Callithrix jacchus: one gene and its partners. The protein of the gene in region 6 interacts with the protein of the main gene of each other region in a biochemical or structural test. Links are inferred from orthologs where the notes say so. Each region holds a gene or a part of one and is shown on either strand. Other genes may lie near its edges. The genes, in order: SERTAD1, E2F1, CDK4, CCND2, TRIP12 and CDKN2A.

Region 1 (3,980 bases), on a different chromosome or scaffold from region 6:
TGTGTGTGTGAGACAGAGTCTCACTCTGTCATCCAGACTAGAGTGCAGTGGCACAATCTTGGCTAACTGCTACCTCTGCCTCCTGGGTTCAAGTGGTTCTCCTGCCTTATACTCCTGAGTAGCTGGGATTACAGGCACATGCCACCACGACCAGCTGATTTATTTTGTAGTTTTAGTAGAGACGGGGTTTCGCCATGTTGCCCAGGCGGGTTTCCAACTCTTGACCTCAGGTGATCCATCTGCCTTGGCCTCCCAAAGTGCTGGAATTATAGGCGTGAGCCACCACACTCAGCCCCAAACCATTTTTTATCTTTTCTTGACATTGAATTTCTGGCAAAATAGCCCAGTCGTGCTGTAGAGTGTCCCACATTCTGGATTTGTCTGACTGTGTTTAATTTGTTCCTCTCTATTGCCAGTAAACTGGAGGCTGAATCTAAAGGCCTGGGGAGATTCTGCTTATGCAGTGAACTGGGAGACTCCACAGGGTATGTCCTAATTCTTATTAATGTACTTCCTAATCCTAATGCATTATGGTAGGTGGCACCCAGTGTCCCGCCATTGGTAATGCAGAATTTCATTACATGATTAAGATTATGAGGGCTACATCATAAAAGGATTTCATCCTTTGCAGTTAGCAAATAACCTTTGAGATGATGCTTTAGAGCCTGTCAGGACCCTATCTCTAGACTGTGCTCTTATAGATACCATCCTATTTAAACTTTGCTGTGAAGAGGTAGGCAAGACTATCCTTATTTAACTTCGTGTAGCTTGGAGAGGTCGATCAGTTTTCCAAGGTCACAAATCTACTGAGTGGTGAATCCGGAGTCGGAATTTGAACCCGGGCATATCTGTAGTGTAGACCCCTGTCGGGGCGTGATGTGTAAGAACCTTAATTGCCATATTTGGCAGGTGCATGGGTAGTTGTGAGGGGCTCGTACTTTGAGAGGCAAAAGGCCCACCCGCCACCATTCCCCAGGGTAAAAAGCCACCTCTTTTCACCCTTCACTAGAGCAGCTGCCCGGGCATGCGCCCTGAAGCCAACCTCCCCTCCTTCAGAATCCGCCCCCTACAGGCTCCGCCCATCACCGTCCAGAGCCAATCCCTGGGGCGAAGGGAGGGGCAGCCACGAGAGTGGGCGTCGCTAAGGTTAGTTAGGAGTCTGGAGTCGTGCGCTCGAGTCAGAACTGCGTCTTGCGATCCAGGTGCCGGTTGCTGGAGGAGAGTGAGCAAGCGATGCTGCTGCCGCCGTTTCCTGATTGGCTGTGGATGGCTACCTCTTTGTTCTGATTGGCCGCTAGTGAGCAGGGTATGTAAATGAAGGGGCCTGGGGAGAGAAGGGGTGCCAGCGGCCGGGTCCTTTACGAAGTTCGATCCCTGGGTCCGACAGGTGCCCGTCTGGGCTGACCGGGATCGAGACACACGGGCCTCTATGTGCCGTCTGCCCCGGCCGGGCCGGGTGAATCACGCCGCAGCCCGAGAAGGGGGCGGAGGCGCCGGCTCCCTGGCTCCGGCTGCGTGACTCACCCGCCCCCGCCGCCGCCGCCGCTTCGGGAGGAGCCGCCTCCACTGCCGGAAGCGAGCGGAGGCCGGGCGCACAGAACAGCCCGCCGGGGGTCCCGGCTCTCACGGCCCCGGGAGGCCGGCAGGAATCACAGCCGGGAAGCGGGGCAGTAGGAGTCCTGGGGTCAGAGGGGCCAGAATCCCCGGGGGAAAGCCGGCCTGGGCACCGCTAGGGGGCGCCGGGACCCGGGGGCGGAGTCGGGGGTCGGGGGCGGAATTCCTGCGGTTCCTCACTCCTGGGACCGCGGGGAAGGGGACGGAGACCCAGTTTTGACTAGTGTGATGGTCCACTCTTAAGATCTTGCTAGGCAGGGTCCCGGGAACTGGACCCTGGACCCTTACTGGCCCAAAAAGGTAGGTAGCGCCAGGGGTCCAAAACTCCAACCCCACCCCCAGCCACTCCAAGAAGAGAGTGGGTCCTCAAACTTATCTCAGTGACTGACCCCAGTGCCCAGCACGATTTCCCGGCAAGCCCCGTCGATTCTGCCTCCCAAATAAATCGTGACTCGACCGACTTCCTTCCATACACTACCAGCTCCTCCTCCAGGCCATCACCATCGTCCGTCCCAACCGAGTACAGCTTACCAGTGGTTCTCAGATTCCCCCTCTTCCTCCCCTCCCCCCAGTCTTCCTCAAAGCAGCCATGGGGGGACGGAAACCCAGTCAGCTCACAACACCACTCCCCTCCCTGCTCAAATTCCTTTAATGACCGCCCACCACGCTCATGATAAAATACAGACTCCCTACTTCTGCATATGTGGCTTTCTGTGACCTGGCTGGTGCCCGTTTCCTCTGCTGCTCCCCAATCTGGTCTCCTACCATGTCACTCTCTGTATGCCAGGCATGCTAGTCTCTTTCAGTTCAAGCCCATCCAGCCTCTGGGTCTTTGGTTGCCTTTTTTTGTTGATCCCTCCTCCCAGAATCCTTTTCCCAGGGGGTCTCCCTTGGCTGACTTCTCTGGCCTGAGGGCTCCATTCAAATGTCACCTCCTCTCGGGAGCCTCCTCTGATCATCTGAAAGGTCTCCAGGACCTTTTAGTGTCTTCCTGTAATTCTCTGTACATTTCCTGTGTTTGCTTATTTATTTACTGTTTGAAATATATAGTAGACAATAAATATTAAACTATGTGAAACTAGTTTAGTATTTATAATTTATACATAATTACTTATAATAAACTATGTGAAACAGCTGCTTTTGTAGGGGAAAGGTGAATATTGGCCATTCCACATGGTTCACTGAAGACATTATAATGTTATCATTAAGAGTATTTATTGGTGGTCTGGGCGAGGTGGCTCACACCTGTAATCCCAGCACTTTGGGAGGCCTAGACAGGCAGATCGTGAGCGCGGTCAGGAGTTTGAGACCAGCCTGGTCAACATAGTAAAACCCTGTCTCTACTAAAAATACAAAAATTAGTGGGCGTGGTGGCGGGTGCCTGTAATCCCAGCTACTGGGGAGGCTGAGGCAAGAGAATTGTTTGAACTTGGGAGGCAGAGATTGCAGCGAGCCGAGATCTCGCCATTGTACTCCAGCCTGGACAACAAGAGAGAAAAATTGTCTCTCAAAAAAAAAAAAAAAAAAGGTGTGGCAGCTCAGTTATAATACCAGCACTTTGGGAGGCTGAGGCGGGAGGATGGCTTGAGGCAAGGAGTTTGACACCCTGAGCAACATAGTGAGACCCTGTCTCTACAAAAAATAAAAGGAGAAAGAAAAAAGAGTACTTATTGACTGACGCAGGAGGATTGCTTCAGGCTAGGAGTTTGAGACCAGCCTGGGCAACAAAGTGAGACACCATCTCTATTTTTTTAAATAAAGAAGTCCATAAATATACTTTATAAAATATAAAATACAAAATGTAAGAAGTCTATAGGCTGGGTGCGGTGGCTCACGCCTGTAATACGAGCACTTTGGAGGTCGAGGTAGGCAGATCACTTGAGGTCAGGAGTTTGAGACCAGCCTGGGCAACATGGTGAAACCCCATCTCTACCAAAAATACAAAAATTAGCCGGGCGTGGTGGCTTATAGCTACTCGGGAGGCTGAGGAACGAGAATCACTTAAACCCGTGAGGCAGAGGTTGCAGTGAGCTGAGATCATGCCATTGCACTCCAGCCTGGGCAACAGAGCGAGACTCCATCTCTTAAAAAAAAAAAAAGTCTATAAATATACATCTACAATTAAATAAAAATTGCCTATATCTTTAAAGTTCCCTAACAAAAGCTAGGCACAGAGACGCTAAGTGACTTGCCAAAGATCCTACCTGCAGCAGCTGTCAGATCCAGGCTTTGAACTTGACATTTGTTTTCCATAACTTGACTTTAACTCCCTGCTCTCTGCAGATGCTGAGCAAGGGTCTGAAGCGGAAGCGGGAGGAGGAGGAAGAGAAGGAATCTCTGGCAGTCGACGCCTTGTGGCTGGATCC
Region 2 (4,018 bases), on a different chromosome or scaffold from region 6:
GCAAGACCCTGTCTCTACTAAAAATACAAAAATTAGCTGGGTGTGGTGGTATGTGCCTGCAATCCCACCTACTTGGGAGGCCAAGGCACAGAATATCTTGAACTCCGGAGGTGGAGGTTGCAGTGAGCCCTGATCACACCACTGTACTCCAGCCTGCATAACAGAATGAGACTCTGTCTCCAAAAAAAAAAAACAGTTAAGTTTTCTACAGTAAACATGTATTATGTTTAAAATATTTGAGTTTGTGGAAGTGGACAGGCAGGACCAAGAGAAATGGCTGAATTGCACAGAGCCTGGTATACAGTGTTCAACGAATGCCTGCTGGTACAGAAGCTAAGTCTGTAGCTTATTCCAGGGACTGTGCCAGACAAATGCCAGTGCAGAGAGGCCAAAAGCCGAACCTGTGGACCTTCTGGACTTCAGCTCCAGTCTCCTGCCCCTAAGTACAGAAAACACCTCCTGGCCCTGAAGGACTCTGAGGGTGGGGCTCCTTTTCTCTGAGCCTAGTGCCTCCTAGGCATTCACTAACTCAACAACTGTTGAATGAATGGAATGCCCGGGCCAATAAGCCTGCCCCTGACAGGTAGAGTGGAGGGCACTCTTCTTTGCCCCGTTTCTCCTTCTGATCCTAGAATCCATAATCCTGTTCAGTTCCTTGAGGACAAGACCCTCAGGTTCTGTTAGGTTTCCACAGACCTGAGCCTGCTATATGCTTGTCACACAGCTGAATGGAGGATGCTTGCCCAGGTCCCAAGCACTACCCACAGGGACAAACCCCCGGAGTACAGGAGACAAGCCACCTGGCCCACCCCTCCCACCCACTCATTAAGATGAAGGGCCCCCAAAAGCCCTTCCTGCCCTTTCTTCAGCCTCTATCAGCATCCCTAGAAAGCAATGCATCCCAGAGGTCAACCTCACAGGAAATACAGATTCAACCCCCCGCTCAATAGCAGAATGACATGGGAAGATTCTAGTATTTCTAGGCCTCAGCTTCCCAATCTGTAAAAAGGGATTGCTGCTGATGGGGTTAAATGAGTTAATTAGGTAAAGCTCTTGGCAGAGCCTGGCACATAAGACATCCTCAAAACAATGGTGGCTGCTATTGTTATTATTATTAGCATCGTGGTGATTCCGGAAGGCAGCACTGGGCATGAGGCCAAGGGGGTGGGGGAGCCCCTTTAGATGCCTCAGGGACCAGCTGCTACCCTCACCCCCATCAGCAGTTAGGCAGCTTCTACCTCCTAGTCCTAAGCCCTGCCTCACCCCTCCCACTTGCTCCAAGCTCCCTGCTGAGACCCCATCCTGCTTGACCAGCCCCTGCCTGCACATCAGAGCCCCACCTTCACCCATAGGCTGCGCCAGTCAAACTGGTCTCCACACCCTGTACTGCAGCCCACAGGTCCCAGCTCCAGGCTTCTACGCCTCCAATCCCTTCTCCCACTGTAATTCAGCCACCTCTTCTGGGCACCACCCCCCCCCCACCCCCCGCCCCGTCTGAACTGGTCTTGAGCTCAGCACTCAGGGACGGCTTTATTAAAGGATCTCCCTGGGACATTTTCTCTCCTGGCACTGGGGGCCTCCTCTCCAGCTCCCAGAGGCCCAGCCCACCTAGTTCTTCTACAGAGGCTCAGGGGTCTGTCTGTCTGATTAATGAGGTTCCATGGCAACCAGGGCCTGGGAGGGTGGAGGGTGGCAGATGGAAGGACAGGCAGAGGGAGGAGATCAGCAGCTGGTCCAGCTGCCCCGCCCCTGCAGAGAAGGCCTCCCAGCCAGGAGGGCTGTCCCCAGAGGCCTGGCCGGCCAGTCCTGCACCTGGCAGTCAGCATCGAGGCAGGAAGGAGGGTCTCCTCAGTGGCTCACCAACGGTTAAGCCCCAGGACCTTCCTCGCCCCGCCTTCACTTCCCCTAGCAGCTGTGTTCACTACCGAGATGCAAATTCTGATCTGAAGCCAGCAGGCCGCAGTTCAAATCCCAGCCCCGCCACCTGCAGCCGTGTGACCAGGGGCAAGTCACTGTCCCTCTCTGGGCCTCAGTCCTCCTCCGTCAGCTGGGCACAGTGACAACACGGCTTACAGCAGGGTTGTGAGTTTCAGCTGGCTTGAAGTCGGCCGAGGCCTGGCGTGCAATAAACGCCAGTTGAATACACGTGGGCCATTATTATCATTGAGTCCGACGCTGGGGAGGCTTTAGTGAGGAAGCTCAGGCCCAGAGCAGAGGAGCAAACAGGGACCGGCCCGAGGTCACCCCGCACCCCAGGGCGGAGCCTGGAGGCACAAGCCAGGCTCTGCACCGCCCAGCCTGGGTGCCTCAGTCCACCCCTCCCCCGCCCCCTGCCGCCTCCAGGCCAAACACAGCACCCGCCCAGGTCTGCTCAGGGGGCACAGGCAGTGCTGCCGGCGCGGCGTCCCTGGGGTCCGTACCGGCGGGCGGCCGAGCGCGGGGCGCGGCGCGCTGGGTGTGGGCCGGGGCGCCTGCGGAGTGGCGAAGAGCAGCAGGTCGGGGTCGCACGGGCCGGCGGCGGGCGCCGCGGGGCCAGCTGGGGCCGGCGGGACGCTGGCGTCCTGTGCGGCGGAGATGATGACGATCTGCGAGGAGTCGAGCAGCCGCAGCGCGCCGGCCCCGAGCAGGGCCTCCAGCGCCGGCGCGCATGGGCCGCCCGCAGGGGCCCCGGCCAAAGCCATGGCGCTCACGGCCCGCGCGGCCCGGGTGACAGGCGGCGGCGGCGGCGCGGGCCCATGGCGGCAGGCCCCAGCAAGGGCTCCATCCCGCTCCGCCCCCGGCCGCCGCTGCCTGCAAAGTCCCGGCCACTTTTACGCGCCAAATCCTTTTTGCCGCGAAAGAGCCACGAGCCGCCGAGCGCCGCCACGATTGGCTGCCCGGGCCGTGACGAAGTCGACGGCAGCGGCTCCTATTGGCTATAGCGCGCCGGACCGGCGGCGACGGGAGGGATGGGGCGGCGGCGCGGGGCGGCGCGGGGCGGCGCGGCCAATGGCGGGGCGGGGCGCGCGCAGGCTTTGTCCAGACAGTGCCAGGCGCGGTCGGACTCCCCGCCCCCAGGCCGAGCGTCCCCTGCCGGAGGCGTGGGGACACTGGAACATGGCCCCGCCCCGACGCTCCCGCATCCCACTGACCTTTCTATAGTGCAGGTTCAGGACAGAGCCTCTGTTCACGCGACCCTCAACCTGTAGCCCCCACAACCTCAGCCCACATCTCCAGAAACTGCCCCCTCTTCTTTTCGGGATCATCAGTTCCACAGCCCAGCCATCAGCCACCTCTCCTATCCTCAACTTACCACACCCATGACATTATCCTAACCCTGCACCCAGCCCTATCCCACTCACCCAAAGCCCAAGCTGAAGAGCGGTACCAGGAAATGAGGAGGGACGACCCGCCAGATATTAGCCTGGGGCTTTCCTGCAAGTCCCATTTTAGCCAAAATCTACAATGGCCAAGTAAAGCGTCTGCTTGAACTAATTCATTCCCTCACTCATTCAACAAACGTCAGGAGAGCCTGCTCTGTGCCCATCCTTAACTCTGTGCCCCCATCCTTAATTCGTGGCCCTAAGGAGCTCACAGTCTACTGGATAGGGGACAGAGAGGTAACAGACGTTTACAATAGGATGAAGCATTGGTCCAGAGCGGTGGCTCATGCCTGGAATCACTATAATCAACGGGCAGGGTGGATCTCTTGAGCCCAGGAGTTTGAGACCAGCCTGAGCAACATGGTGAAACCCTTCTCTACAAAAAATACAAAAATTAGCCAGGCGTGGTGGTGTCCATCTGTAGTTCCAGCTACTTGGGAGGCTGAGGTGGGAGGATTGCTTGAGTCCGAGAAATGAAGGCTGCAGTGAGCTATGATCATGCCACTGCACTCCAGCCTGGGCAACAGAGCAAGATCCTGTCTCTAAAACAAAACAAAAACAAAACACATCACTTCTTCTAGGGACCCCTCCCAAGGATCTACTCACTTCCTCTATTGCCCACTGCTGCCTCTGTTCCAACACTGACCACACATTTC
Region 3 (4,214 bases), on a different chromosome or scaffold from region 6:
TACATTTATATATATTTTTAGACAAAAAATATATATTTATATATATTTTAGACAAATTGTCAATTCTCACAAATGAGACACTAACCACTTTCCTCCTTTACTCCCATACCCCTAAAGGGCTGGGAGATAAAGAACCTGGAGCCAATAAAACAAAAAAGGTAGGAGAAATCTACCTCTGTCAACCTAGGTGTCTGTGGGCAGAGGCCATTTGGGAAAAATGGTGCTAAGTGCTGGTTCTGGATGGTGCTAAGTGCTAAGAAAGCTGCACTAGGGAAAAAGGGAAGCACAGTGACTCCAAATGAACAGTCACAAGCTTGCAGAAAAGCACGTCATTCCCATTTACTGTGGTTGTCTGGAGGGTGCAGGGGGTGTGGTGGTAACTTCTTGCACATGCGCCTGTCTACGACATGTAATAAGTAATATAACATACATACATATATATATACCTAGAAGTATATATATACACACATATATCTTAATCTCACATAATCATAGAATCTTCCTACTGAAAAAACAAAAACAAAAAACATAAAGGTCAAGTATTCCTGTCTCCTGCTCATCAATAACTTCTCTGCCAGATGGCCTCAAGTCTTTGCATTAACACTTCCAGGAAGGTTTGGAAGTTGGGAACTAGAGGGCATTACTTTGCCACTGTTCCTGTTGTCTTACTGTATTAATCTGCCTTCTGTCCATCCCCTAATTGAAGTTTTGCCCTCCAGTGGGCATTGTCTACTACCTATTTTATAAGACCCCATTGTTGGCTACATCTTTATAGATAGTCGTACCACTACTTTAAAGAGCCAGTGACAGACACCAAAAACAAAACAAAATAAAAACCCACATACACACTGGCAACAAGCACTCAGTACAATTTTGTAGAATGAATGAGTGAAACAATGGCACAAATGAGAGTATGTTTTCTCACGGTGAAGCAAAAAGGTGATAGTACCACCTCTGGTCCCCCAACTCCCACCCTCTCCCCAATGTAGTCAGGCTGAAAGACCAGTGAAACAATCTTTCAGCCCGGAGTTGGGCTCTGGGTGGCCTGGGTTGCCATGGCACCGCCTTGGGCTCCACCCTCTCTTGCCCCCTACCGCGCCCCCCCACCCGCAGCGGGGTTGTGGCAGCTAGTCACGTGCCCTTCGCGTAACCACACCTCTGCTCCTCCGAGCAATGTCAAGCGGTCACGTGTGATAGCAACAGATCACATGGCTGTATCTCCCCTCCGCCCCTCTTACGCTCTTAGCTCTCCTCCCCGTCAAAGCGGCTCCTGGCCGCCCCCACAGCGCTTGGCTGGCGGTCACGTGCCCAGAACGTCCGGCGTTCGCCCCGCCCTCCCAGTTTCCGCGCGCCTCTTTGGCATCTGGTCACATGGTGAGGGTGGGGGTGAGGGGGCCTCTCTAGCCTGCGGCCTGTGTCTATGGTCGGGCCCTCTGCGTCCAGCTGCCCGGGACAGAGCCCGGGTGTATGGGGCCGCAGGAACCGGCTCCGGGGCCCCGATAACGGGCCGCCCCCGCAGCACCCCGGCCTGGCGTGAGGTAAGTGCAGCCCCATCCCAGCTTTCCACGCGTGCGTTTCGAGAGCTGGTTATGAAAGGGTCGTTCAAGGGCGGGAAATGGGGCCTTTGTGGTCGTGGGAAGGTATAATTTTAGGGACTGAGGTGTAAGATCTTCGATGCAAGGCGTGTGTCATGTGTGATCTTTGTACGGGGCGCGATTGTCCCAAAAGAAAAGGCATTTTTTATTGTAGGGCCTCACGTGGCTGCAGGGGTTGGTATTGAGTCATTGTGTTATCTCCGGGGCCGGCCCAAGGAAGATTGGGAGCGGGGGATGGGATGCTGGTGTTGTTCTTTGTGCTTTTTCTTGGGAGTCCCTTTGTTGCTGCAGGCTCATACCATCCTAACTCTGTAAGGGACTTTTAGTGATAGGAGTCTTTGTGATTGTAGGGTCTCCCTTGATCTGAGAATGGCTACCTCTCGATATGAGCCAGTGGCTGAAATTGGTGTCGGTGCCTATGGGACAGTGTACAAGGCCCGTGATCCCCACAGTGGCCACTTTGTGGCCCTCAAGAGTGTGAGAGTCCCCAATGGAGGAGCTGGAGGAGGCCTTCCCGTCAGCACAGTTCGTGAAGTGGCCTTACTGAGGCGACTGGAGGCTTTTGAGCATCCCAACGTTGTCCGGTGAGAAGGCGGTGGAGGGTTGGGAGTGGGCAGTAAAGGGAAAAGACAGTCTATAGGTGGGGTGTGGTGATCTGGTGAGAAGTGGGGACCCAGAGGAAATAATGAGAGGTCATGTGGGTTAAAGGGGATTGACAAGTGAGCATTTACTCTGGCCAGGCTGATGGATGTCTGTGCCACATCGCGAACTGACCGAGAGATCAAGGTAACCCTGGTGTTTGAGCATGTAGACCAAGATCTAAGGACATATCTGGACAAGGCACCCCCACCAGGCTTGCCTGCAGAGACCATCAAGGTGAGTGGGGTTGGTAGGCATTGAGAGGTGAATTGGGACCTTTGTAGTAGAACCTCCTGGGATTTCAGGGATGGTGCCTAGTTTCCAGTGCATCTGTTCCTCCCCCTTCTGAACTAGGATCTGATGCGCCAGTTTCTAAGAGGCCTAGATTTTCTTCATGCCAATTGCATCGTTCACCGAGATCTGAAGCCAGAGAACATTCTGGTGACAAGTGGTGGAACAGTCAAGCTGGCTGACTTTGGCCTGGCCAGAATCTACAGCTACCAGATGGCACTTACACCTGTGGTCAGTAGAAAGATGGTACCAATATGGGTTCTGGTTGGGAGTAGGAGAGTGGTGGCCCATAACAATTGAGAAGTCATGTGCTTCATGTGTTCAGTTAAGTCAGTTGTATTTCATGGTAACGCATGGGATCCCCATCCATTTTTCCTATCCCCTTTAGGTGGTTACACTCTGGTACCGAGCTCCCGAAGTTCTTCTGCAGTCCACATATGCAACACCTGTGGACATGTGGAGTGTTGGCTGTATCTTTGCTGAGATGTTTCGTCGAAAGTATGGGACCCACATACCCTGGACCACCTTGAATTCCCCAAATCTCTTGTTCATAAACCACATCCAAACCTCCCTTCCATTCTTCTTCTTTTTTTTTTTTTTTTTTGTTGGAGACAGGGTCTTCTCTGTTGTCCAGGCTAGATTGCAATGACATGATCACAGTTCACTGAAGCTTCAACCTCCTGGGCTCAAGTGATCCTCCCATCTCAGCCTCCCGAGTAGCTCACACTATAGGCGCACACCTCCATGCCTGGCTATTTTTTAATATTTTTGTAGAGATGGGGTCTCAGTATATTGCCCAGGCTGGTCTTGAACTCTTACACTCAAGCAGTCCTCCCAACTCTACCTCTCAAAGTGCTGGAATTACAAGCATGACCTACTGCACCTGGCCCCATTCGTTTACTTGAGTTCTACTGACTACCTTGGCCATAACGGGAAGCACTAAAATGTTCTGGAATTGGGAACTTCATATCCCTTTATTCTCCTTTATTTATTTATTTATTTGAGACAAGGTCTCACTCTATCACCCAGGCTGGAGTGCAGTGGCACAATTACAGCTCACTGTACCCTCTACCTCTTGGGCTCAAGCAGTCCTCCTGTCTCAGCCTCCTGAGTAGCTGGGACTACTACAGGCGCACGCCACCATGAATGGCTTTTTTTTTTTTTTTTCAAGACAGAGTGTGGCTCTGTTGCTAGGCTGGAGTGCAGTGGTGCGATCTTGGCTCACGGCAACCTCTACCTCCCGGGTTCAAGCAATTCTTCTGCCTCAGCCTCCCGAGGAGCTGGGACTACAGGTGTACACCACCGTGCCAAGCTAATTTTTATATTTTTAGTAGAGACGGGGTTTCACCATGTAGGCCAGGATGGTCTCCATCTCTTGGCCTCATGATCTGCCCACCTCTGCCTCCCAAAGTGCTGGGATTACAGGCGTGAGCCACCGCACCTGACATTTTTTTTTTTTTTTTTTTTTAAGAGACAAGGTCTTGCTTGTCCAGGCTTATCTAGAACTCCTGGGCTCAAAGAGTTGTCTCACCTTAGCATCCCAAAGTGCTGGAATTACTGGTCTTTATTTGCTATACTTTTTATTTTGGGCTACTAAGTAGTAACAGCCATTCGACTATGATACTTTAAAAATGACAGCTACCTTATGTCTCTTCTTACCTTAGGCCTCTCTTCTGTGGAAACTCTGAA
Region 4 (4,047 bases), on a different chromosome or scaffold from region 6:
TATTATCACTGTTAGTTAAAATATTCCATGCTTCCCCTACACACATGCACACACATTGCGAATGAGTCTCACCAACCCAAATCTCCATGAGGATCTTATTCACAGATGTAGCCTCAGTGCTGGGCACGGAGCCTGGGCACATAGTAGGAACACCAAAAAAAAGACAGCGGTTTCCTACTAAAAGAGCCATCGCCTGTAAGTGTGAACATTCTATTGGTGGGATCATTTTTGGATCCCAAGAATTTGCTCTGGAAGTGGTGAGTAGAAGATATATTGCTGGCCAGGGGAAAGCGGGAATCGCAGAAAGGAAGGGAGGAAGGGGCCCGTCATTACCAGCAGCTCCTGAGGCTTGATGGAGTTGTCAGTGTAAATGCACAGCTTCTCCGCAGTCAGCGGGCTGGTCTCTTTGAGCTTGGAGGCCAGGAACATGCAGACAGCACCCAGGAGTTGCAGATGGGACTTTGGAGTCGGGACCCCAGCCAAGAAACGGTCCAGGTAATTCATGGCCAGAGGGAAGACCTCTTCTTCGCACTTCTGTTCCTCACAGACCTACGATGGGAGTGAGAAAGGGTTGGGGGGCGGGGGTGGAGAGCACAGCATCAGCAAAAGAGAAAAAGAATAAAAATGCATAATGTATGGAAACAAAAAATTTTAATTTTTTGTGGGGGGGGGAGGGGAGTAGAATGTGTGATAAGAATAAAGAACAAAGATGAGGAAACTGGGGTGCATTAGAATAGCCCATTCTGGCTTTGGCATTCCCAGGGAGCCTATAGAAGGGGGTGAACTACAGCTCCAAAACGGGGAGTCGGGGAAGTGCGCAGCAGCCGCGGCAGCTCCGCGACGCTCCCTTTGGCTACTCCTTCGCGCACTCTAAACTCACTCACTCTTTTTTGGATTTCGTCATCTTTTCAAAAAATCAATAAAAATATTCTGGAGGCTCCGAGGGTCCACTTCTTGGTCTCATCGGGATCCTCAGATCCTCCTCTATCATTCCCGACAATTGAAAAAAATGTCCGGGGGGGTCCCTGCGGCCCAGGGGCCGCTATTGGGGGGGCGGGTGGGGAGAGGTGGGGAAGAGAGGGGGAGGGAGGAGAGGAGGAAGAGCGCCGCAGCCTCGGCAGCTGGAGTCGGAGCAGGGGGGGGACAGTTTCAAAAAATAATTAAAAATCGAGGAAATATCCTAGAAAAGCCCTTTTGGCGTGAAAACCCCAAAGAGGAATCAGGCTTCCCGAAACGTAAGTTTCGGGTGCCAGAAAGGTCTGTATTCCGACCCCTGGGGCTTTAGATCCCGGGAGGAAACTTAAAGGGGTGAGCGCCGCGGCGGGAGTGTCCGGCTGCGGCCCACAAGGACAGAAACTAGGGAACGTGGTGACGAGCTGGGGGACAGACGGGAGCAGAGAGCCCTTTAAGGAAGATGGGGGCTCCGACTTCTCCTTTAGGAGTGACCCGATATACCCCCTACACACACACCCTCCCCCCCTTCCTACCCCACCCAAATCTCCGCACAGAGGAAGCTGGAAAGCCAAACTGTAAGTAACCTTCGCGAGGTGGGGGGGTGGGGGAGAGGGCACGATTCAAAGCGGGGTGGCCGGGATAATGGGGTGCAAGGGTAAGCTGGCGACGTTTCCCAGCCTTTCCAACGGGAGTTTGCAAAGCAACATGGCGAAACCACGGCAGGTCCAGAGCTGTGCATACGTGGGCACACGGCTCGCTGGGCAAAGACTTGGAGTGAGGGGCAAGACGTGGTTCTTTAGGTTCCCCAGAAACACACGTTTCTTCCCTGTAAGTTTCGGGGCTCCAGAATTCCCCGTTTCTCTCCTTCTGCCTCCTCCCTCCACCTCCCCCCTGAAGTGCCAGCGCGGAGTTGCGACCACATGCAGGGACCAGAGGCCAAGACGAATGTGCTTTGGCCTTTTGAGGGGGCTGCCTTTCTACTCGGGGTCCCAGTTTCTGGCCCCGACTCCCTTCCTGGCCGCAGCGAAAGCAGCCGCGGCGGCTTCGCAAAACACAGGTCTCGGGGCGGGGGTGGAGGGGTGGGGGTGGGAAGAAGAGGCAGCCACATGCAGGCACACGCGCGCGGGATGCTCCCCCACCCCCGCCCAGGACAGCCTCATTTCTTCCCCAGATTTTCCTCCCGCCTCTCCTTCCCGAGTTAATCTGGAGAGGAAGAGTAATAAAGCCACGCGTCTCGCCAAAAGGCGCGCGGTAACCTCCCGCACAGGAGCCGGGAGGCCGGCGCGGGGACTGCCCTCTTCCAGGTTTAGGGCTCCTGCCGGGGGGCCGAGAGTCACGGAGCGGTCCTGGCTCCTAGAGAGCGCCGCCCGCAGACCTACCTCCAGCATCCAGGTGGCCACCATCCTGCGCATGTAGGGCTGGATGTCTTTTTGCACGCACTTGAAGTAGGAGCATTGCGGAAGGTAGCGCTCCTCGATGGTGAGCAGGTTCTGCAGGACGCGGTCGTCCTGTAGCAGGTTGCGGTCCCGCACGGCCCTGCGGATCGGGTCCACCTCGCAGCACAGTAGCTCCATGGCCAGCCCGGCGACCCTTCTCTCCCCTACTTTCTGCGGACTGGAAATGTGTTTTTTGTTTTTTGGAAGGGGAAGGGAAAGGGTTCCCCCGATCTCCTTCCTTTGGCTGAATAAGGGGGTTCGGGGAAGAAGTGAGCGCAGAGAGAGAAGGTGGAGCAGAAGAGGGGCGAGGATTGGGCGGTGGGCAAGCAGAGCCTCGGGGTCTGCCTCACTCGCACCGGTCCTCCCCTTCAAACTGGTCTTGCTCTCCCCAGCTCGCTCTTCTCCGCTCTGAGGCGGTGACGCAAGCTGGCTAGGCAGTTAGCTCTCCTCCCTCTCCCCACGCTCCCCGCTCTGGTTCCTCCTCCCCTTCCCTCCCCTCCTGGCTCGCCCCTCCTCCTTTCAATCTCTCCCTCCCTCCCTCCTTTTCCCCTCTCGCTATTAAGGAGAACAGCAGCTGCCCCGACCTAACTTCAAACGCCGTCTCCCGCCCCCCCAACCCTTCTCCCTCCTCCAGCCCTGCGTGCCAGGGGCCCCGGACAGGGCAACCCACAACAAACTACTGATTCCTATTTCTGCCCTCTAATTTCGCTCATTCTGTGGGTGTAGCGCGCCAAAATACGACCCTCCAACTTTGGCTCCTTCAAAACGGATCTTAATTCTCCTGCCCTTGTATTCAAGATCCAGGCATGTAGGGTAGATTACTTGAAGATGGGGTGAGCTCAGACAATTTAGAAATAGATCCCTTGAGTGAAAAATAAGAAAGGGGGTGATTTTAGAAAATAGTAACCTCGCATACCCAGAGATAAAGGTCACGTCCCTGAAGTTCATGTTCCTGATAACTTCGAAGCTGTTTCAAAAGCCCCGATTAAAGGGAACAGAACGTCGTCCCTTCTGCCGCCCCCCCTCCCAGCAGTGTGTGGAGAGGAAGAAGAGGGAGGGGTGGGTGTTAGGAAGGAAGGGGGATGCTTCTCTGGAGGGACAGAGTGTGCTTCACGAGCAGAAACCGTCGTGTTCCTGGGGGCCCTAGGAGCGCCCTGGGGCGAAGCGGTATAGCGCCCAGGGCCGCTGCAGGCCGGGGGCACGGTTCCCAGCGGTTCCTCCGCGGCCAGCGGCCACGCAAGAAAAACCCGCTTCCTCGCCCCTGCATCTGCTGACAAGCCGCCCGAGGTGTCTGCGCCGAGCGTGGCCACACCGATACAGCTTTCTAGGAAATGGCCCGGGAGGGGGAGGGGGGCGAGAGAGGGATTAGGTCTGGCTCCCTCTCGCTTCCCCTGCGCAAACACCACCACCCCTTCCTTTCCCTGGAGGCATAAGGCCACCACCCTCGGTCCTTCGCCCGCATCCTCGCCGACCCCTCCGGGTTCGCGCCTCTCTCGCCAGGCTTTCTCCCTGGGAGCGGATTGCGGTGAAGTCGCCGCCAGCACCGTCGGCCCTGACACGTGCTCTAACGCATCCTCCAGTCAAGGCTGTCTTTACAGGAGATTGATCTGCTGGCGCTTCCACACCTCCTTCCTCCGGTCACCCCCAACCCCCACCC
Region 5 (3,770 bases), on a different chromosome or scaffold from region 6:
CCTGATACTTATAGGCACTGCTCGTCACCTGGAATTGAATCATTGTCCTCACCATTTGCTATGTAACCTTATTCAAGTTACTGTATCTGATAGGACTGTTTCATTGGTAAAATTGGGATGACCCCTGTTATAGAGTAATGAAAATTAAATAGGCTGGGCACAGTGGCTCAGCCTGTAATCCCAGCACTTTTGGGAGATGGAGGTGGGAAGATCACTTGAGCTCAGGAATTTTAAGATTAGTGTGAGCAACATAGTGAGACCAGGTCTAAAATAAGAATACAAATAATTAGCTGGGTGTGGTGGTATGCACCTGTAGTCTCAGCTACTTGGAAGGCTGGGATTGAAGGATCACTTGAATTTAGGAGACCAAGACTGTACTTAGCTATGATTGCACACTATACTCCAGCCTGGGCAACAGAGCAAGGCTTTGTCTTTAAAAACAAAACAAATATATATATGTATATGTATATGAATATATGTATGATACTGGACAGTGAGGATTATATAATAGGTATTAAATTTCATTGGCCTCAAATTGGATTTTCTCAAAGTATACAGTCTTCTGCAAATCAGCAGTTAACCAGAGAAAGACATGGTTTTAATTTGAAACTGATGTTAGATTTTCTAAGGACATGAAAACATGTATTGCTTTCTAATATTTATTTGGTAATATTTAGGTTGGTCCCCATACAAACAACCGTGTAACATAGACGTGCTTCTCTTTACAAAGCATAAAGACCTACCCATTTGCTGTGTCTTAGTTCAGCTTGTTTCTCCCACTTCTTTCTCCAGCTCAATATTCTCCTTTGGGATCTGTTATATACTTTTGTGTTTCTGAAAGCCAGGATTTATAAAATCTCCCTGATTAAAAGCAGATTATCAATTTAAAACACCTAAAGTAATGAGAAGAAAGGAAAACTGAAATCAAGAGTATCAGGTGTTTTTGGTTTAAGAGGAACAGCTTGTCTGGAACCAAGTCTTTGCAGATGGGCAGGGTACTTAATAGTGTACAGCTAAAAAGGAAATGGAATCTCTCAATTTTTTTTTAGAAAGAAAGGGCCCAAGCAGAAGGTTTTAGTACTGAGACTGATATTCTTGTGTGGTACACGTAGACCTTTATTTTTACTCAGGTCAGCAGATGTTTCTTTAGTAATTCTTTTTACCTTTAAACTCACAGCTGGATCAGCTCCTTTGTGGCAGTAAAGCAGACACTTGGGATGCAAAGACACTGATGGAATGCTGCAGGCCTGATCACGGTTATACTCATGACAGGTAAGTATTGGGGTTCTCCAGTTTCTCTATTGATCTTAAAGAATGCGGAGAGGGGGGTGTGTGCACACGCACACATATGTAAACAACAAAAGTTGGAGTGGTTCATTTTAAAATAATGTCTACCTGTTAATGGATGCATACTTACTTCTCTTTTGGCCTTATTTCTCTCAAGATGACAAATTGAGATTCAAGAGTTAACTTTCTCAAGTATTTCTGTGAAAATATTAGGGGTTGGTGAAGACAGATTCAATTCTGTTCCACATTATTACATATATTAAAGCAGAACTATCTGTATAGTACCAGATCAAGCCTCACATATTACAACTATAATCATTCCATTTGAATTCTAGTCATAACAAACAAATCTGTACATTATAATGGAAGCATACCTGTAATTTAAAAGTGTTCATCTAATTTTGAGAAGTTTACAGTCAGTGATGTGATGCGATGTGATTAAAACTATTCTAACCTGATGAAATAATTTCGGTATATTTATTTCTGTTATAGTCGGGCTGTGAAGTTTTTGTTTGAGATTCTCAGTAGTTTTGATAATGAGCAGCAGAGGTTGTTTCTCCAGTTTGTGACTGGTAGCCCAAGATTGCCTGTTGGAGGTGGGTATGATGTTGATGTTAGCATTTATTCCCCCTATTGGTGTGTTTGTGGGTGTGAAACTTCGGTACCATAAGCAAGAGATTCTTTATATCACTTGCAGTGCCTCTTAGTTATTCCAGTGTCATCATGTTTCTTACAGTACATTGAGACCACTGGCAGGGCAATTCATAGGGAATGTCTTAAACATATTGAAGTAGGATTCCTCATGTACGTGTAATGCTGGTTAGATAAAATTCTAGGCCATTTGTACATTATAAACTCTTAGTTGACTTAGACGAGAATGGATTCTAAAATCTGTTTTTTCAGATTGAATTTTAATGTAAGTTAAATTGGTATTCTGTTCTTTTTGTTTTGTTTTGTTTTGAGACAGGATCTCACTCTGTGGCCCAGGCTGGAGTGCAGTGGCACCATCTTGGCTCACTGCAACCTCTGCCTCCTGGGCTCAAGTGATCCTCCTGCTCCAGCCTCCTGCATAGCTGAGACTCTAGGCACACAGCACCATGGCTGGCTAATTTTTGGATTTTTGTAGAGATAGGGTTTTGCCATATTGTCCAGGCTGGTCTCAAACTCAAGCTATTGGCCCACCGCAGCCTCCGAAAATGCTGGGATTACAGGCATGAACCACTGTGGGTATTCCATTTTAAAAATCAAAAGGCATAAAGAACAGTTGCCTCCATGTTATACATTGATTTTTAAAATGACAAATAAAGGGTGTTCCTTATACTTCATGTATATTGAATGTGTAGTTACCAAGCAAGAAAGAATACCTTGTGTGTAATATTGTATGGTACAGCAGTTAGTGCTTTTTAAAAACTTAAATTCTTCATCTTTCTTTTTCTCTTAATCAGGATTCCGGAGTTTGAATCCACCTTTGACAATTGTCCGAAAGACGTTTGAATCAACAGAAAACCCAGATGACTTCTTGCCCTCTGTAATGACTTGTGTGAACTATCTTAAGTTGCCGGACTATTCAAGCATTGAGATAATGCGTGAAAAACTGTTGATAGCAGCAAGAGAAGGGCAGCAGTCGTTCCATCTTTCCTGATCACAACAAGAAATGCAGTGTCTGCCTGTTACAGCAAAAGAAACAAATCATGATTTCTTTTCTTATGTATCACCTGAGTCAAGGAAACATGTTACGCCTTCTTGTTGTAGGAAAAACGGCTTGCAGATTATAAAGAGACACTTGGTTGATATTCATTAATGGCCCCATGGACTTAAAGTGATCAGGCCCTAAAACGTTGTTGTGATGAGGTTTCTTTAGCAAGTTATTGTTTAAATTATCATTTATTTGATGAGTGAAGTTTTTAACATGCTTTGCTGTGTGAAATTTAAAAAAGGGATGTTTTTCCAGGCTGGAACAATAAATGTCGCTGTGCAGTTTAATTCTGGGCTGTGTGTATCCATCTAGCTAAGTCTGCAGTTTGGTTTCCTCCAAAGACAACTCTTGTACATAAGTACAGAAATTAAAGCTCACATGTATTTGACAAATGTAGTTCAGTAGACTAGCTCTATGTGCTTTTCACTTTCCTCGGATTTCCTCTCCCTGATTCATTATTGTCTGTGCAGCTCACAGTTTTGTTTTGTTTTTTTTCTATGCAACACTCAGTTCTCAAATTTTCGTTAGCCATGGGCTTTTGTTGTCCCATGTTCTCTCCAGCTAAGATCTAATTTAAAATTCATTGGATTGAAATATATTGAATAGAATTCAGTCTTTGTAACTAGGTAGACTTTTCTTATAGCTTAGTTTTAATATAGCTGAGAGTATTACTGGCTTTTTGCCAGGTGACACTCTAGGACTGTTTACATGGCAATTCCAGTAGCAACAGCCTCTGGAATGAGACAAAAAAAGCTCATTTGTTTCTTTTATGAAGGTTAGAAAGTCT
Region 6 (3,977 bases):
ATGGACAATTCAAGAGATAACAGGTATTATTAGCTTAGGGTATGCGGCACTGTTCTTAAGGTTCATATGTATTAATACATCAATTCATTTAAATTCACAACAACTCCTGTAAAGCAGGGGGCACTCATATTCCCCTACCCCTTTATAACTAAAAAAAAGAATGCAAGGTATTTTCAGTGGGAAGGGGAAATGTGCGTGTGAAGGAGACAGAACAGTGTGTAAAGCTGATCTTTGAATCACTGTGCAACTCTGCCTCTAGAACACTGAGCACTTCTTCTGGTCTAGGAATTATGACTTACTCAGAATGGAATCCGTCCTTCCAGTACTCCCTCCCCATTGGTACAATTCTCCCCTGTCCGTGGCACAATTCTCTCCTGTCGTATTAAGCAAACCTCATTTTTTCAGAGTCTGCCCTTATACCAGGCAATGCACATGTGTGAGAAATCCACGCCCTAGACAGCCGTTTTGCACATAGGAGGGGAAGGGGCAGGGAAGGAGAGAGCAGGCCGACTCTCCAAAAGGAATCCTTTGAACTAGGATTTCTGACTTAGTGAACCCGGCGCTCTCGAAAATCAAGGGTTGAGAGGGTAGGGGGACGCTTCCCAGTCGCACAGGTGATTTTGATCCTCGCTGGGCTCTCACAAACAGAAAAGAATAGTTTTGCTTTTTCTTATGAGTAAAAGAAGAAGCCATACTTTCCCTGTGACTCCAAATACCCTGATTCAATTTGGCAGTTAGGAAGGTTGTACCGTGGAGGAAGGAAACGTGGGCAGGGGGAGGGGTGTGGGGGGTGCGAAATTTCTTTTTGCTCTGAGACGAAAACGCGCGGTTGCTGGGAAGGCGGGGTAGCAAGGCCGGGAGCAGGGCTGCCGAAGGGCGGTGTAGGAGCAGGTGGGGAGGAGTCCAGCCTTTCCTCGCCGCCTCTGGGCTCCGGCGGGCGAGGGCCGCTTCCGGCTGGTGCCCCCGGGGCAGACCCACCTTGGGGCGGCTTCAGGGGTGCCACCTTCGCAGCGAGTGAATAGCACCTCCTCGGAGGACTAGCGAACGGCGCCCCCCCGCCTGGAAAGATATAGCCGTTCCGCCGGAGGAGTCGAGGGACAGCGTCCCGGGTGTTGGGGGTGGGGGCTCTTCCGCCCGCCCTCCCGGGTGGAAGAAAGAGGAGGGGCGGGCTGGTCTCGAGACTGCAGTGCGGGCCGCGAGAGCGCTGCAGGAGCGGAGAGAGGGAGAGCGGGGAGCGAGCAGCCGGGAGCAGCATGGAACCTTCCGCGGACTGGCTGGCCACGGCCGCGGCCCGGGGTCGGGTAGAGGAGGTGCGGGCGCTGCTCGAGGCGGGGGCGCCGCCCAACGCACCGAATAGTTACGGTCGGAGGCCGATCCAGGTGGGTACAGGGCCTGTAGCGGGAGCAGGGGGTGATAGGCGACTCTGGAGGACGAGATTTGCAGGGGAATCAAGTAGCGCTTTTATTCTGGAAAAAGAGAGGCTTCCTGCGCAGTTTTCAGAAGAGGTCTGTAATCAAAGACCTGGTCTTCTGGGGGCCCTGGGAAGCCACGGAAGGATTGAGGAGGCCCGCGCGTGCAGATCTCTGGAATGCTGTAAGGATCTGAAGAGGGGGGAAATATTTGTATTAGATGGAGGTATGCTCTTTATCAGATACAAAATTTACAAACGTTTGGGATAAAACGCGAGTCTTAAAGAAATGTAGGATGTACTGGAACTATTTAGCCCTGAATTCACAGAATCCTGGATGGAGCTTATCTTTCTTGCTAGGAGGTATTATCAGTAATAATCTATCGTGTATGTTGGAATAAATATCGAATATAAATTTATGATCGAAATTATTCAGAAGCGGCCGGCTGCGGTGGCTCACGCCTGTAATCCCTGCACTTTAGGTGGCCGAGGCGGCCGGACCACAAGGTCTGGAGTTGGAGACCAGCCTGGCCAACATGGTGAAACGCCGTCTCTACTAAAAATACAAAAATCAGCCAGACATAGTCGTAAACGCCTGTAATCCCAGCTACTCGGGAGGCTGAGGCAGGAGCGGAGGTTGCAGTAAGCCGAGATCACACCACTGCACTTCAGCCTGGGTGAAAGGGTGAAAGTCCGATAAATAAAAGAAAAGAAAGAAATTATTCCGAAGCAACTACATGTTGTGTTTATTTTTAAGTGAGTAGGGCAAAAATATATGTTTGCTGTAGGAACTTAGGAAATACAGATAGATAGATGCATATAATGAATCACATTCATGTGATCACACCAGATGTAATATGTAGTTACCATTTTGGGATTATCTGCTGACATTTTTGCTGTTTTTGCTATCTTTAGCTTTCTTGATATAATTTATTTGTGATAGAGTTTTAGAGATTTTTCATTTCCTCATTTTTGAAAAGTAGTGTTTCTCCTCTCCCCACTCCAGTTTTGTGAGGGGTTAGGGGATGATTTAAAAGTAATTAATGCCTGGGTATCTTTGCATCTCTAAAATTGTAACAGCAGCTTGGACCTGGAAGTTTGGCATTGTAGCCCTAAAATATTGTAGAAGAGACCTTATTTGTTTATAAGCAAAAAGGGAAAAGAAAAGTGGATAGTTTTGACAATTTTTAATGGGGAAGGGAGAAGAACATGTAGAAAAGGGGAAATGACGTTGGCTTAGAATCCTAACTACATTGATGCTTAATATAGAAACTTATTTGTATAACATTTTTAAGTACTAAATTCATATTAATTTCTTATTAAATGTGTTTAAGCATCCTACACATTTTCATTCAATTGATTCATTTTCTTTTTGCTTTGGATTTCTATCATGATTTAAATAATTACATATGGGTTACTTTTTAGATTTTTCATACTATGAAATATAAGAAAAACCATTAAGACTAGTTTTATGACCGAAATGAAGGACTTCATTGAACACACAAAACAATAAATTTACTGCAATATTTTGTCTTTTTGTAGCTGCAATTTGGTTTCTTGTACTTTCTCTTTGTCTCCTTGAAAAATAACTCAGTTTCACTTTCTTAGGACAGGATTTAGTAACTACAGTATAATTTAGTATAATTCTTTGATTTAGGCAAATTATACAATTTGTGTTTAATACAAAATGTGCCTAAAAATAAATAATTCTTCTTTATAACACCACCATCCTCAAGCTGATATAACAAATAACAGTTATCTCAAAATAAATTATCTGCTTCTACTATCATCTACCACATAATACTCAAATTTTAAGGTTGCTATGACTGCAGACAGTGTTTTAAAATTCCTCTTTGGAAATGGCTTTGTTTTCAAGATGATTTAGGAACCAAAGAAGTGACCATCTCTTATTTAATGAACTCTCAAATTATAAACCTGGAAAGTGTTTAAGTTTCCTATTGCTACTGTTACAAATTATCACAAATGTAGTAGTAAAGCAAACACAAAATTATTATTTTATAGTTCTAGAGATCAGAGGTCAAAAATGGGTCCACAGTGCTGCATTCCTTTTGGAAACTCTAAGGCAGAATCTGTTTTCTTGTCTCTTCCAGCTTCTGGTGACCATCAAATTCCTTAGATCATGGCCCCTGTATTTTCTCTCTGGCCTCTGATTCTAATATTTTCTCTCTGACTGTGACCCTCTAATAAAAACACTTGGGGTTATGTTGGGCTTACACTGAAAATTCCAGATAATCGCCCTCATGACCATTAATTCAATCACATCTACAAAGCCTCTTTTGCCACCTAAGGTAATATATTAACAGCTGTTGAGGATTGGGGCATAGATATTTGTGGGGACAGGGCATTATTCAGCCTACGACAGAAAGGAATTTTAGGACTAATTAAGACTAGCCATCTTGTTTTATATTTGAAGGAATTGAAGTTTTGGAATTGGAGAGCATTGTGCTAAATGAAATAAGCCAAACACGGAAAGACAAATATCACATGTTCTTACTTATTCGTGAAATATAAAACAATTTAATATTTCGAAGTAGAGAGTAGAATGGTG

Evidence for each region.
Region 1: the proteins of CDKN2A (region 6) and SERTAD1 form a complex in vitro, tested with the Homo sapiens proteins (2 studies listed by BioGRID). The link is inferred for Callithrix jacchus from reciprocal best matches to the Homo sapiens genes CDKN2A and SERTAD1.
Region 2: the proteins of CDKN2A (region 6) and E2F1 form a complex in vitro, tested with the Homo sapiens proteins (2 studies listed by BioGRID). The link is inferred for Callithrix jacchus from reciprocal best matches to the Homo sapiens genes CDKN2A and E2F1.
Region 3: the proteins of CDKN2A (region 6) and CDK4 form a complex in vitro, tested with the Homo sapiens proteins (12 studies listed by BioGRID and IntAct, with this or other methods). The link is inferred for Callithrix jacchus from reciprocal best matches to the Homo sapiens genes CDKN2A and CDK4.
Region 4: the proteins of CDKN2A (region 6) and CCND2 form a complex in vitro, tested with the Homo sapiens proteins (2 studies listed by BioGRID). The link is inferred for Callithrix jacchus from reciprocal best matches to the Homo sapiens genes CDKN2A and CCND2.
Region 5: the proteins of CDKN2A (region 6) and TRIP12 form a complex in vitro, tested with the Homo sapiens proteins (2 studies listed by BioGRID). The link is inferred for Callithrix jacchus from reciprocal best matches to the Homo sapiens genes CDKN2A and TRIP12.

Annotation. Positions count from the first base shown.
Region 1 is NC_133523.1:35,982,860-35,986,839, reverse strand, and holds the start of SERTAD1 (SERTA domain-containing protein 1), read left to right. Parts: upstream 1-1,180; 5' UTR 1,181-1,306; intron 1,307-3,897; coding exon 3,898-3,980. UniProt on the Homo sapiens protein: Acts at E2F-responsive promoters as coregulator to integrate signals provided by PHD- and/or bromodomain-containing transcription factors. Stimulates E2F1/TFDP1 transcriptional activity.
Region 2 is NC_133506.1:5,612,713-5,616,730, reverse strand, and holds the start of E2F1 (transcription factor E2F1), read right to left. Parts: upstream 2,801-4,018; 5' UTR 2,682-2,800; coding exon 2,421-2,681; intron 1-2,420. UniProt on the Homo sapiens protein: Transcription activator that binds DNA cooperatively with DP proteins through the E2 recognition site, 5'-TTTC[CG]CGC-3' found in the promoter region of a number of genes whose products are involved in cell cycle regulation or in DNA replication.
Region 3 is NC_133510.1:61,953,310-61,957,523, forward strand, and holds the start of CDK4 (cyclin-dependent kinase 4), read left to right. Parts: upstream 1-1,414; 5' UTR 1,415-1,538; intron 1,539-1,945; 5' UTR 1,946-1,964; coding exon 1,965-2,179; intron 2,180-2,335; coding exon 2,336-2,471; intron 2,472-2,588; coding exon 2,589-2,756; intron 2,757-2,913; coding exon 2,914-3,023; intron 3,024-4,189; coding exon 4,190-4,214.
Region 4 is NC_133510.1:17,668,491-17,672,537, reverse strand, and holds the start of CCND2 (G1/S-specific cyclin-D2), read right to left. Parts: upstream 2,801-4,047; 5' UTR 2,529-2,800; coding exon 2,334-2,528; intron 1,530-2,333; exon of another isoform or gene 1,093-1,529; intron 550-1,092; coding exon 334-549; intron 1-333. UniProt on the Homo sapiens protein: Regulatory component of the cyclin D2-CDK4 (DC) complex that phosphorylates and inhibits members of the retinoblastoma (RB) protein family including RB1 and regulates the cell-cycle during G(1)/S transition.
Region 5 is NC_133507.1:151,303,880-151,307,649, reverse strand, and holds the end of TRIP12 (E3 ubiquitin-protein ligase TRIP12), read left to right. Parts: intron 1-1,177; coding exon 1,178-1,272; intron 1,273-1,779; coding exon 1,780-1,883; intron 1,884-2,732; coding exon 2,733-2,929; 3' UTR 2,930-3,270; downstream 3,271-3,770. UniProt on the Homo sapiens protein: E3 ubiquitin-protein ligase involved in ubiquitin fusion degradation (UFD) pathway and regulation of DNA repair.
Region 6 is NC_133502.1:128,971,937-128,975,913, reverse strand, and holds the start of CDKN2A (cyclin-dependent kinase inhibitor 2A), read left to right. Parts: upstream 1-1,177; 5' UTR 1,178-1,253; coding exon 1,254-1,379; intron 1,380-3,977. UniProt on the Homo sapiens protein: Acts as a negative regulator of the proliferation of normal cells by interacting strongly with CDK4 and CDK6. This inhibits their ability to interact with cyclins D and to phosphorylate the retinoblastoma protein.